3 linked regions of the Kluyveromyces lactis genome follow. The protein of the gene in region 2 interacts with the protein of the main gene of each other region in a biochemical or structural test. Links are inferred from orthologs where the notes say so. Each region holds a gene or a part of one and is shown on either strand. Other genes may lie near its edges. The genes, in order: PCL1, PHO85 and PHO81.

What was found.
Region 1: the proteins of PHO85 (region 2) and PCL1 form a complex in vitro, tested with the Saccharomyces cerevisiae proteins (4 studies listed by BioGRID, with this or other methods). The link is inferred for Kluyveromyces lactis from reciprocal best matches to the Saccharomyces cerevisiae genes PHO85 and PCL1.
Region 3: of the proteins of PHO85 (region 2) and PHO81, one has a biochemical effect on the other in vitro, tested with the Saccharomyces cerevisiae proteins (6 studies listed by BioGRID, with this or other methods). The link is inferred for Kluyveromyces lactis from reciprocal best matches to the Saccharomyces cerevisiae genes PHO85 and PHO81.

Annotation. Positions count from the first base shown.
Region 1 is NC_006041.1:1,168,832-1,171,599, reverse strand, and holds PCL1 (Pcl1p), read right to left. Parts: upstream 1,462-2,768; coding exon 613-1,461; downstream 1-612. Other genes in the region: RFC3 (replication factor C subunit 3), read right to left, coding at 2,122-2,768. UniProt on the Saccharomyces cerevisiae protein: G1/S-specific cyclin partner of the cyclin-dependent kinase (CDK) PHO85. Essential for the control of the cell cycle at the G1/S (start) transition.
Region 2 is NC_006040.1:1,022,231-1,025,348, forward strand, and holds PHO85 (cyclin-dependent serine/threonine-protein kinase PHO85), read right to left. Parts: upstream 1,715-3,118; coding exon 1,698-1,714; intron 1,563-1,697; coding exon 665-1,562; downstream 1-664. Other genes in the region: KLLA0_D11968g (uncharacterized protein), read left to right, coding at 1-552; TRM44 (tRNA (uracil) methyltransferase), read left to right, coding at 2,360-3,118.
Region 3 is NC_006041.1:1,401,535-1,405,761, forward strand, and holds the start of PHO81 (Pho81p), read left to right. Parts: upstream 1-1,405; coding exon 1,406-4,227. Other genes in the region: KLLA0_E15665g (uncharacterized protein), read left to right, coding at 1-250. UniProt on the Saccharomyces cerevisiae protein: Inhibits the kinase activity of the cyclin-CDKs PHO80-PHO85 and PCL7-PHO85 under low-phosphate conditions.

The sequences.
Region 1 (2,768 bases), on a different chromosome or scaffold from region 2:
CATCACGTGATACTCTTTTTCTTATATTTTGTATGGAACGGATTTTTGGCATCACGTGACATTGGCTATCATATCAAAGAAACGGCCTCTAGCGAGGCCGTTGCTCCTAGTACGGTTTCTTAAATACAGTTTTCTTAAATACAAACTTGCAGGCCTCTCAGTAAACGTTCCTCAGAAATTTGGGTATACTTAATGCTTCAGAGTGCTAGAGTACATTTTAGCACGTTCAGACTGGTGCACAGCGTTTCTCTCGTCTTTGGAACCTCAAGACGCAATATACTTATCGCGACCTTGTTACTGATGTGCCTTCAACACTAACTCCAACATCGCCCGATGTTGGTAGTTGTTGCCTGCTCTTTTCAGCTTCATATATATCTGTAAAATGCTCATTAACAAGTAATATATGTACTTAGTGCAGAGGACCTGCCTCTATTTATACAAATTTAGGAAGTGAAAAATTTTTGCTTGGGAAAAGTTACCCGGGACAGTAGATGTAAAGAAATCCGTTTCCATATTGATTATAGGGCATCGCCTAATGCGATGAGCCATGCTAGGTGACCAAGGGCACACACACCCCTTGTTATCTAGCACTATTATATTTAAAAGCTACTGTTATGTGTATATTGTAGGGTCGGTGTGCTGTACCGGCCGTACAGTGTTATAGTACCGAGGATCCATCGTATACTTCTTGTAGTTCATTTCCTCGGTGTATGTCGGAGATGACAGTGTCGATGATGACGACGACGATGACGATTCGTATTCCTTCAGTATATCCAAACTGTTAATGGATCCACTCCTGCTGTTCCCTAGCAGTGTAGCAGTGCTGGAACATGCAGAAAGGTTGCGTTGATGGTAGTAGAATTGAGATGCTTTCTGTTGAGCTTGAGCCTTGGCTCTTTGTCTCGTCTTGTTGATCTGGGCACCTCTCTCCAAATCTCTTCTGATTGGGTTGGCTAAATCATACAAGTTGTCCCATAGCTCTTCAGATTCGACTCTCAAGTCCCATTCAAACAATTGTAACAGTTGTCTTTCCATTAGGTTCACATCGCGCAAGGTGAACATCCCATCTGTGTACTTGGTCCAATGCTTGTTCAATGGGGAGGAATCGTTGTGGTATTTGGCACTGAGAATCAAACAGGCTAGGAAAATTCTATGGCATGTAGTAGGCAGACCAGCTGCATCGGAGGGCAACAACTCCCTCAATCTGTTTAGGTATACCACGGTGGTCAACAACGTGGATGTGTAAACGTTCGTGTACCGTACTAATCTCGAAATGAACGTCATTAGACTGGGTACTCCATTGTGGTTCTTACTGGATGGAGTGCCCGGTGGTGAAGGTGGGTATCTTTGGTTTCTGTTCTGTGTAGGAATCACTCTCAAAGCGTGATCAGTTAAAAATTTGATCATATCATCGCTCACTGGTGAATCGAACAGAATTTCCAAACTCTTCTTCTTGAACATGCTTAGACTTTATAGGCTTGTTGGGCTCTTACGATATGCTCCCAAAATTGTGCCTAACATGACAGGCAGTACTGGAAGATGCTTCATCCTTCCGATCCTAATCTCTCTTTTATATATGTTTGAACCTTCGCGAGTCTCCAGGTTACACATTTATCAATGCGCCAAAAAAGGCACGCTGCCATTGTCTACTTACAGTAAATACATCAATGCGGTGGTACCTGATACCCAAAACTATGCGATCTTGGAATAGTAATTTTATTTCGTGATCTTCAGAATCCAATTCACCCGTTGTCCTTCTGATCTAACCGTACTTCAAGCTGCATCAGTTATCAAGACGACCAAGGAAAGAAAAATGCTAATTAAAACACAATCAAGTAATGTAATTTCCAAAACTATAAAACTGACACTTTTTTTTCGTGGTCCCCATTGAAAATCTACCCATATCTAAACTCTATACATGCATTAAGTACCGTATCCGTTAAAACTTCTTTTCGTTCGAGACGAAACTTCGCGTTTTGCTTCTCTCTCGACACCGTTAAATCAACGAAAAAACGGGAAAGAAAAAGTTACACTATTTCGTGATTTCGCAGTCGCAGCATGTCACATGGTATATAGATCCGGTATACGTCTGACTAGTTTACTTATTGTGTGCATACATTGTCACACCTCTAATTCCATGCACTGTTTTATCGTTCCGATGGTTGCACTGGTCTGGATCGAATCGGTACCACCTCTTGAGATCGAATATTCGATATCACTTAGTCTAGATAGAAGTTCAATTCTGGTTTGAGGTTTCAGTTCATATTGTTCCAGTAGGCCCGCGATCCCCTCAATCATGTCAATAAGTGCTAAGCCCTTTGTGATTCTGATTTTGTTCACGGTGTATGTAGTGGTAGTCCAGTCGTCCTTGAGAATTGATTCCAGCATGGTTTCAAGGTCACGTGGGTGAGGTGCACCGATGCATTCGTAGATCAAATCCTCGGTGACTTCTTCTGTGTCAGGATTGTCTAGCGTAGCTCTTGCTGCCTGTAGTACGTTCAATGCTCGTCTCATGTCACCGGAAGAGAGCCTTAATAACGCTGCGTGTGCCTGAGGGTCTAATTTCAAGTGTTCCTTCACTAACACATTCGCAATACGACGTTCGATGGCTTGTTCGGACAAAGGTTGGAACCTGAACCTGGTACATCTTGACAGGAGTGCTGGTGTTAGCTTATGTGCATAATTAGCCAAGATACAGAATCTTGTGTTCTTGGTGTACCGTTCTATGATTCTTCTTAGTGCGTTTTGTGCAGCGTTGGTCATTGCAT
Region 2 (3,118 bases):
AAACAGGATTATCCATCAATATTTTACTCGGAGGTAGAATTTTTTTTCCAAAACGATATTCAACTAAAGAAACCAGTTTACAACCAGTTGATACTTGAACTATCCGTCCACTACGAGGTGAAGCAGCCTTATTTCCTCATAGAAACCTTAATGCATTGGTTTTTCCATACTAACCAAGGTCAATATAACATCAACCATTTATTCCATGCCATTATCTTGGTAACTCACATCTCATCGGTGTTACCTTCTAAATCCTTGGATAATAATGGACCCTTAATCGAACTAATCAACAACATATATTTGACTCCTGCTGGTCAGCAGTTACATGAGTTGCTATTAGTAGACGATTATACTGACGAAGAGGCGTTTAGTAGAAGGAGAATACGTGTCCTGAACAAATTCATCAATAAATTCTACAAGTTGGAAGAAACAAGACCATTGTTATTGTCTCAGGACGTCTTATGGGAAACCTTGGTCGACGTTAAGGACAAACATGTTATGAAACTTATTATGGAATATGGAGGACAGCCTAGCATCAACGTAATTCAATAAATCCGTAATATAAAAAGTAAAAGGAATGGTTACAGATTACTATACACTTATTTATTTATTTATTTGTTTGTTTGTATCTTTAGATGAGCAAGGCTATCTAAATCTAAAATCGTTAGTTGGCATGGTTATATTCTGCAAACCATGGGTGGTTCAAGGCATCCTTTGCAGAAAGTCTTGCATCTGGGTTCAGTTGCAATAGACCATGCAATAGATCCACTACATTATCGTCCAACACTTCCTCCGTATTGTTTTGTAATAGCTGTTTCAAATCACGAGGCATATGTGGAGGCAAAAGTGGATTGTATTTAGCCAATTGAGTCACTTGCGGCCATGTCTGCTCCACTGGAGTACCCATCGTATCGAATATGAGTTTCAACTGTTCCTCATCGTTGGAACCAGGGAATAACGGTTTCCCCATAATCATTTCAGCCAAGATACATCCGCATGACCAAATATCGATTGAAGTGCAATAGTTTCTTGACCCCATCAACACATCAGGAGCCCTATACCAAAGAGTCACCACTTCACTGCTGAAAGTGTTAACTGGGATACCAAATGCACGAGCCAACCCAAAATCACCAAGTTTCAATTGACCTCTGTTATTGATCAACAAGTTCTGAGGTTTCAAATCACGATGCAAGATCCTGTTCTCATGGCAAAACGCTACACCTTGTAACAACTGCCATTGGAAATATTTCACCAAATCCATCTCTAAGCCCTTATGAGAATTTCCCTTGTTTCTATTGTCCATGAACTTCTTAAGGTCATTATCCATGAATTCAAACACCAACGTCAACTTATTCTCAGTATGAATCACATCGAATAGCCTCACGATGTTATCATGTTTCAACTCTTTCATCAACGATATCTCCCTAATGGCCGTTGACGGAGTTCCTTCTTCGCTATCCAATTTCACTTCTTTCAAAGCAACGTATACACCAGTCGTCTTATTCAATCCTTTGTACACGGTAGCATACGTACCGTTACCAACCTTTTCAAGTTGCTTGAATCTGGTTTCATAGCGTAGTAGAGGGGACAAACGATTGCTGCGTTAGTATAAAAGTCAGAGTTATAGTGGTAAGGAGAAGTACTCATCTGCTTTGTACTCCTCGCTGCCAGTATCAAATATTCACAAAACTGCATACTGAGATGGTGCCACCATAGTTTATGTTTATTGATGATCCTTGGAATGGTCCTGAGAGCTATATAACCATTATCGGATCCTCTTTTTACATCTGTTCAAGAGATAATGATTCAAATAGGAATTGAAATCTTCAAATATTTAAGAATGGTGTTATCTAGAATAAAATAGTGGATACAGAAGGAAGTAACTTAGAAGAGGACAGAAATATTTGAGGTTTGGCAGTTGTGGCGTCCATCTCAGATAGTTTACTACCTAATTATATATGCGTACCATTTCAAAACTCTTCTTTCCCCTGTACTTGCTAATTATAATGCCAGTGACAAAAGTCTACTTGAAGATCTTCTAATATTAGACAGGAGTAAATACACAATTACGCTTTAATACCTGGAAATCTTATCCATTCATTTACAGTAGTAAATAATAATATTCATGTTGAACAACTTCCAAGTGGTTATATGGCTAAAGGCAGGAAGATATCTTGTATGTTGCTTCGAATTCCTGGTGCCTTTAGAGCATGAGTAACGTTCGAAGTGAAAAATTTAAAGAGGGCATCGATTCATCAACTAATAAGCAGTTTCAACGCAGACTCGAAGAACTCGATGGAATACCAGGATATAGAGAACCATATAGACTGTGCACAGGTAGAGTTGACGTAAGTTTGATATGACCTCGAATACGCTTCATTATACCGTGGAGAAATCCAGTATTTTGGGACCAGAATGGCAATCTTTATATTCGACAGCGGAACCTGTCGACTTCGATAAATCACATTTCGAACAAGCTATGCTAAATGTGATAAGGCAGCCTAATGTAAACTCGACTGTTATTCTACGTGCAGATATGCTTATAGACAATGAATACGACTTAGAGTCTGGTTCATGTGTGAAATCAGAGAAGAAAGACATCGCGTTGGGAAGCGATGAGGGTATATTGAAAGTAAACATCGATGATCTAGCACCGAGATCTGTACCGATAGCGTTGGCTGATGTTACCACAAAGTTCCAATTTGTTAGGAGGATTGTTCCGAGGAATCCATTCAAGGATGCTATCATTAATCAGACGTGTTTGGTTATGAATTCCAACTCAGATGCTTCAACCTCTTTAGTAATTTACATCCCACATTTTGATAATGCTGAGTTATGTCCGTTTTATATCCCACAAGTGGCTGCAGTAGGGATTCTATTGCATGATCACCAGCTATCGGTGCATTATATCCCTTTCGCAGGGCAAAAAGAGCTTCTTTTCGATCCAAAACAACGGGTGGTAAGAACTGCTTTCAGGTTATTACAAACAGCATACAAGCATTCGAAAGGTGTCAAAGATGGGTATGCGAAACGGGTAATGCATGACGTTGTCGTGGATAAAGTGTTGTTCCAGGACCAGTATATCCATTTGAAGAAGAAATACTCAAAGTTCTTGGTG
Region 3 (4,227 bases), on a different chromosome or scaffold from region 2:
ATCAGATATATCAGAAAGGATCCAGTTTCCTTTACAAAGTGAACCTTTTCAATCGGTATTACAAGAAAATCAAACAACTCGGAATTTCACAGTTGACATGGATGATGTGGAGTACGGGGAAAACTATAAGTTGATGTTGTTGAAAATTCTTGAGTTGGAAGAAGTTGACTTGACTAATGACGACGAAATTAGTGATATTCTCTCAAAATTCAATAGCATACAAGAATATCTACAAGAGGTTAAGCAATGAAACGCTTAGAGATGATTAGGTACACGGATTGCCGATCATTTTGCGTTATTGAAGGGTATTCGGTGTTACGGTTCGTGCTTCTATAGAAACTAAAACATACCTTTCATTTGGCATGTTAGTCTGAGGAAACAACTTTGAAAGGAACGGTGGAAAGTAGTTTACAAGATGCGAGCTTCAAGATACAGTGAAATCATATCTCATCATTATGCCGAAATGCTCCCGAAATCTATGACATTGTGGAGTTACGAGTGGCATACAACTTAATTCAGTTTAATGCACGTGGGAAACATAATAGGCAAACTTTTGCTGCATGGACAAAAAAAAGGAACTTTCCGTCTTCGCTCTCAAATTAATACCAATCAGGCATCCCGTGAAGGCATCAATGGCAAGCACAAAAAAAGAGCCCAAATAAAAGTTTGTTGGACAACGAATTAGCAACGTTTTTCACTGATATCTTAGTCCTTTCATCGTGCGCTCTCTTTCTCCTTCCCTTTTTTATTAAATTGACATAGCAGTATTTTTCGAGCTTATTTCTCTTCTTTTTTTGGGCTTTTTTGTTCATTTCAACAGAGCGTGTCAAGAAGACTTTAAGTAACAAAGTCACAACGGCTAGAAACTGTAGCACAAAGAAGGTCACGTCAAACAAAAACAAAAAAAATAATGAAGGAAAATAAAGCAACTACGAACAGAAAACGATGCACCTTAGGATTGTTCTGTATGCCTGAGTGCGTGTGGTAATGATTTTGGCAGAGGATTTCAAGTAAGTTATGAGACGGGTGCTTATAGGGGGATTGGGGGATTACAGGAATTGTCATAATAATTGAAGCACAAGTAGAATACAGAATTGAGAAAAAAATTCACGGGAAATGATTCATTTCTTTGTTCTGTTGTTTGTTACCTGAGAGTATTATTTTGAAGAACACAGTTGCAGAGACGTAAAAGAAGAAAAACAAAAATTCACATTGTGTTTTGAAATTAATATAAGTATAAGGTAGTTTTATTCAGGTTTGTTCTTAGCAAGAAGGAAAAGTAGAAGTAGGTGTTGGGAACGTTTCAGTCCGTGACTTGGAACCTCTTTCAGTGCTTTTCCATTAAAAGCTTGACTTTAATATTGTACATCACGACTGTGCAGGAAATCCGGTCGAAACAGTTGGGATGAAATTTGGTAAACACCTTGAAGGGAGACAGTTAGAACTTCCGGAGTATAATGGACATTTCATCAATTACAAGGCTCTAAAGAAGTTGATTAAGCAACTATCTGTTCCAGCAGTTTCATCTTATACAAATTCAAATGATTATATGACATTGGATGAAACGGATGAGTCGATACGGTACCAAAGTTTACAAGAGAATAAAGCATCTTTCTTCTTCAAATTGGAAAGAGAATTGGAAAAAGTCAACGAGTTCTATCTCGAGAAGGAAGCTGATCTACGTATGAAGTTCGATCTTCTAAATTCCAGATACTATGAATACAAATCGAAAGGAAAGTTGACTTCGAAGAAATCTATTGCGTATAGGACTATAAGAGATGGTATTAAGAAGTTTGAAAGAGATTTGGCACAATTAGAACAATTTGTAGAGTTAAACAGAACAGGTTTCTCTAAGGTACTAAAGAAATGGGATAAAAGATCGCACTCGCATGCGAAAGATTTTTATCTCGCAACAGTTGTCTCTGTACAGCCAGTTTTTACCAGAAATGAAGTATCCAAATGGAATGATGCAGTGTCCTCATTATTAATCGAACTTGACGAACTAAGTGATAATGATGATGTCACTGGACCCAATTTCTATGGACCTGCAGGACAGATTTCCCGGACGATATCACGTAACTCAGAAAGTGGTCCCTCAATGTCAAATATCATTGCTCCGAAGCCTGAAACACGTACATCAGTCAGTTCAGATAAATCAACTTTTCTCATTAACTTCTCACAAGGAGCATCAAGTAATGCACATCATTATTCAACTTCCAGTTCAACAGCTGGTTTGTTTGATATAGAGTTGGAAATTGAATCATGGTATATGGAAGTGTTGAGCATCAGCAAATTGAAAGATGTTGAACCAAGAAAAACACATATCAGAACTTTCGTCGAAACTAAAGTACAATCCTTTGTAGACTCACATCTATCTGCTACTCGCATTGATAAAAATCTGGTTATAAGAGACAGCATCACAAAGATTTTCAACTTACTATTGGCTAGCAGCATTGACGATGAATCCTTAGAAGTGTTCTGGAAATATGGGAATGAATACATTGATCTTACATATAGTGATCCAGATGATGATCTAGTTTTTGCTAGGCATAATATGTTTCACGAAGCGGCTCTGTGTCCTCATCAACCGCGTACGTTTGTTCTTTTGGCAGCACTTTATCAATATCAAAACTCCATTATACAGCAAGAGGCATTTCGTAAGTTACTAAACGCTCAGGACATTCATGGTAGGATGCCACTGCATTATGCCTGTGAACTCGGCAAAACAAATTTCGTGTCTCTATTGATAAACACGGAACTCATAGATAATATTGATCTTTTGGATAATACATCTAAAACTCCTTTGGTTCTTTCTATTATTAATAATCACATTGAAGTCACAAAAATACTTATCGCACAAGGTAACGTCAATTTATCCCCATCTTTGTGTGAAGGCACTAAGCCGCAATTCCATCCACTTAATGTGGCTTGTTCAAACAAAAATTATGAAGCAGCTAAAGTTATTCTAGAAAAGGGTGACATAAATTTATCTAGATTAAGAGATTCCCAAGGTTTATGTCCTTTGCATATTGTGGCAAAAATGGGCGGTGGATCAGAATTGATAAAACTTTTGGTTTCTTATGGTGCGGATCCAGATGAGATTGATGGGTTCAACAAATGGCCACCAATTTTCTACGCAATTCAAGAAGGACACGCCACCACCGTCCAAGTATTATTAGAACTAGGTGCAGACGTGTTCATGAAAGATCAACAAAACCTCTCGCAAGTTTTCTATGCATTATGGGAAGGACATCTTTCTGTATTGAATGTACTTTTAAGCTATGCTGGAAACCGCAAACGTTATAGCGCCTTCCCAGATAGACCACTCGCTGGAAGTTTGAGACCATCAGATCCCGGGGAACTTTTTTCTGACGATCAACTGTCCCTGAATGATTCATTAAAGGATATTCCAGATTTCACCTTACCACCACCAATTATCCCTCTAAGAAAGTATGGTCACAATTTTTTGGAAAGAAAGATTTTTGTAAAACTCTCTTTCAAGCCAGGAAAGGAATCAATCACGCTCAACAAGGACGACGAAATGATGTTATCCTCACCTGGACGCATCACTCTTACTTCTAGTGTATCGAATATCATTCCAAGAAATATTATTTTGCCTATTCAAGAAGAGGACGAAAAAGACATTGTATTCCAGATAGATTCCCTAGATACTTTCGATATCGATATTGAAATATACCCTTCTTTCGGAACAAGACTCATAGCAAAAACATATGCTCTTTCTGATGTTTTCCACAAAGCTTATGAAAGTACTTGTAACAACCATCATTTAACTTTGCCCTTATTCGACACCAGATTGAGAAATGTTGGTAAATTCGATGTTGACTTTGAAGTAATCTTCCCATACGGAGGAAAATCTTTGGAAGTCACTAAATATGAAACTTATTGGAAGTCCACAAGTGGTGGTGGAGCTAACAATAATAATACGTCGTTGTCCACATCTTTGCAATCCATTGTAACTGCATCATCTTTAAATGGAAAGTATTGTACCATTGGTGTTATACAGTTAAACGATGGTACTTTGATTGCAAGTACTAGTTTAATCTGTCATGCTGGGGATGTGCCGTTACTATTTAACGATATGAACGCAAAACAGCTAAACAGCATGCTTGATCAGCAGATATCTGATATTCCAGCCAATATAACCTCCAGGCTAACATTGAAAACTCTTTTGAGAGACAGATATGTCTTATTTGAGGATCTATTAAA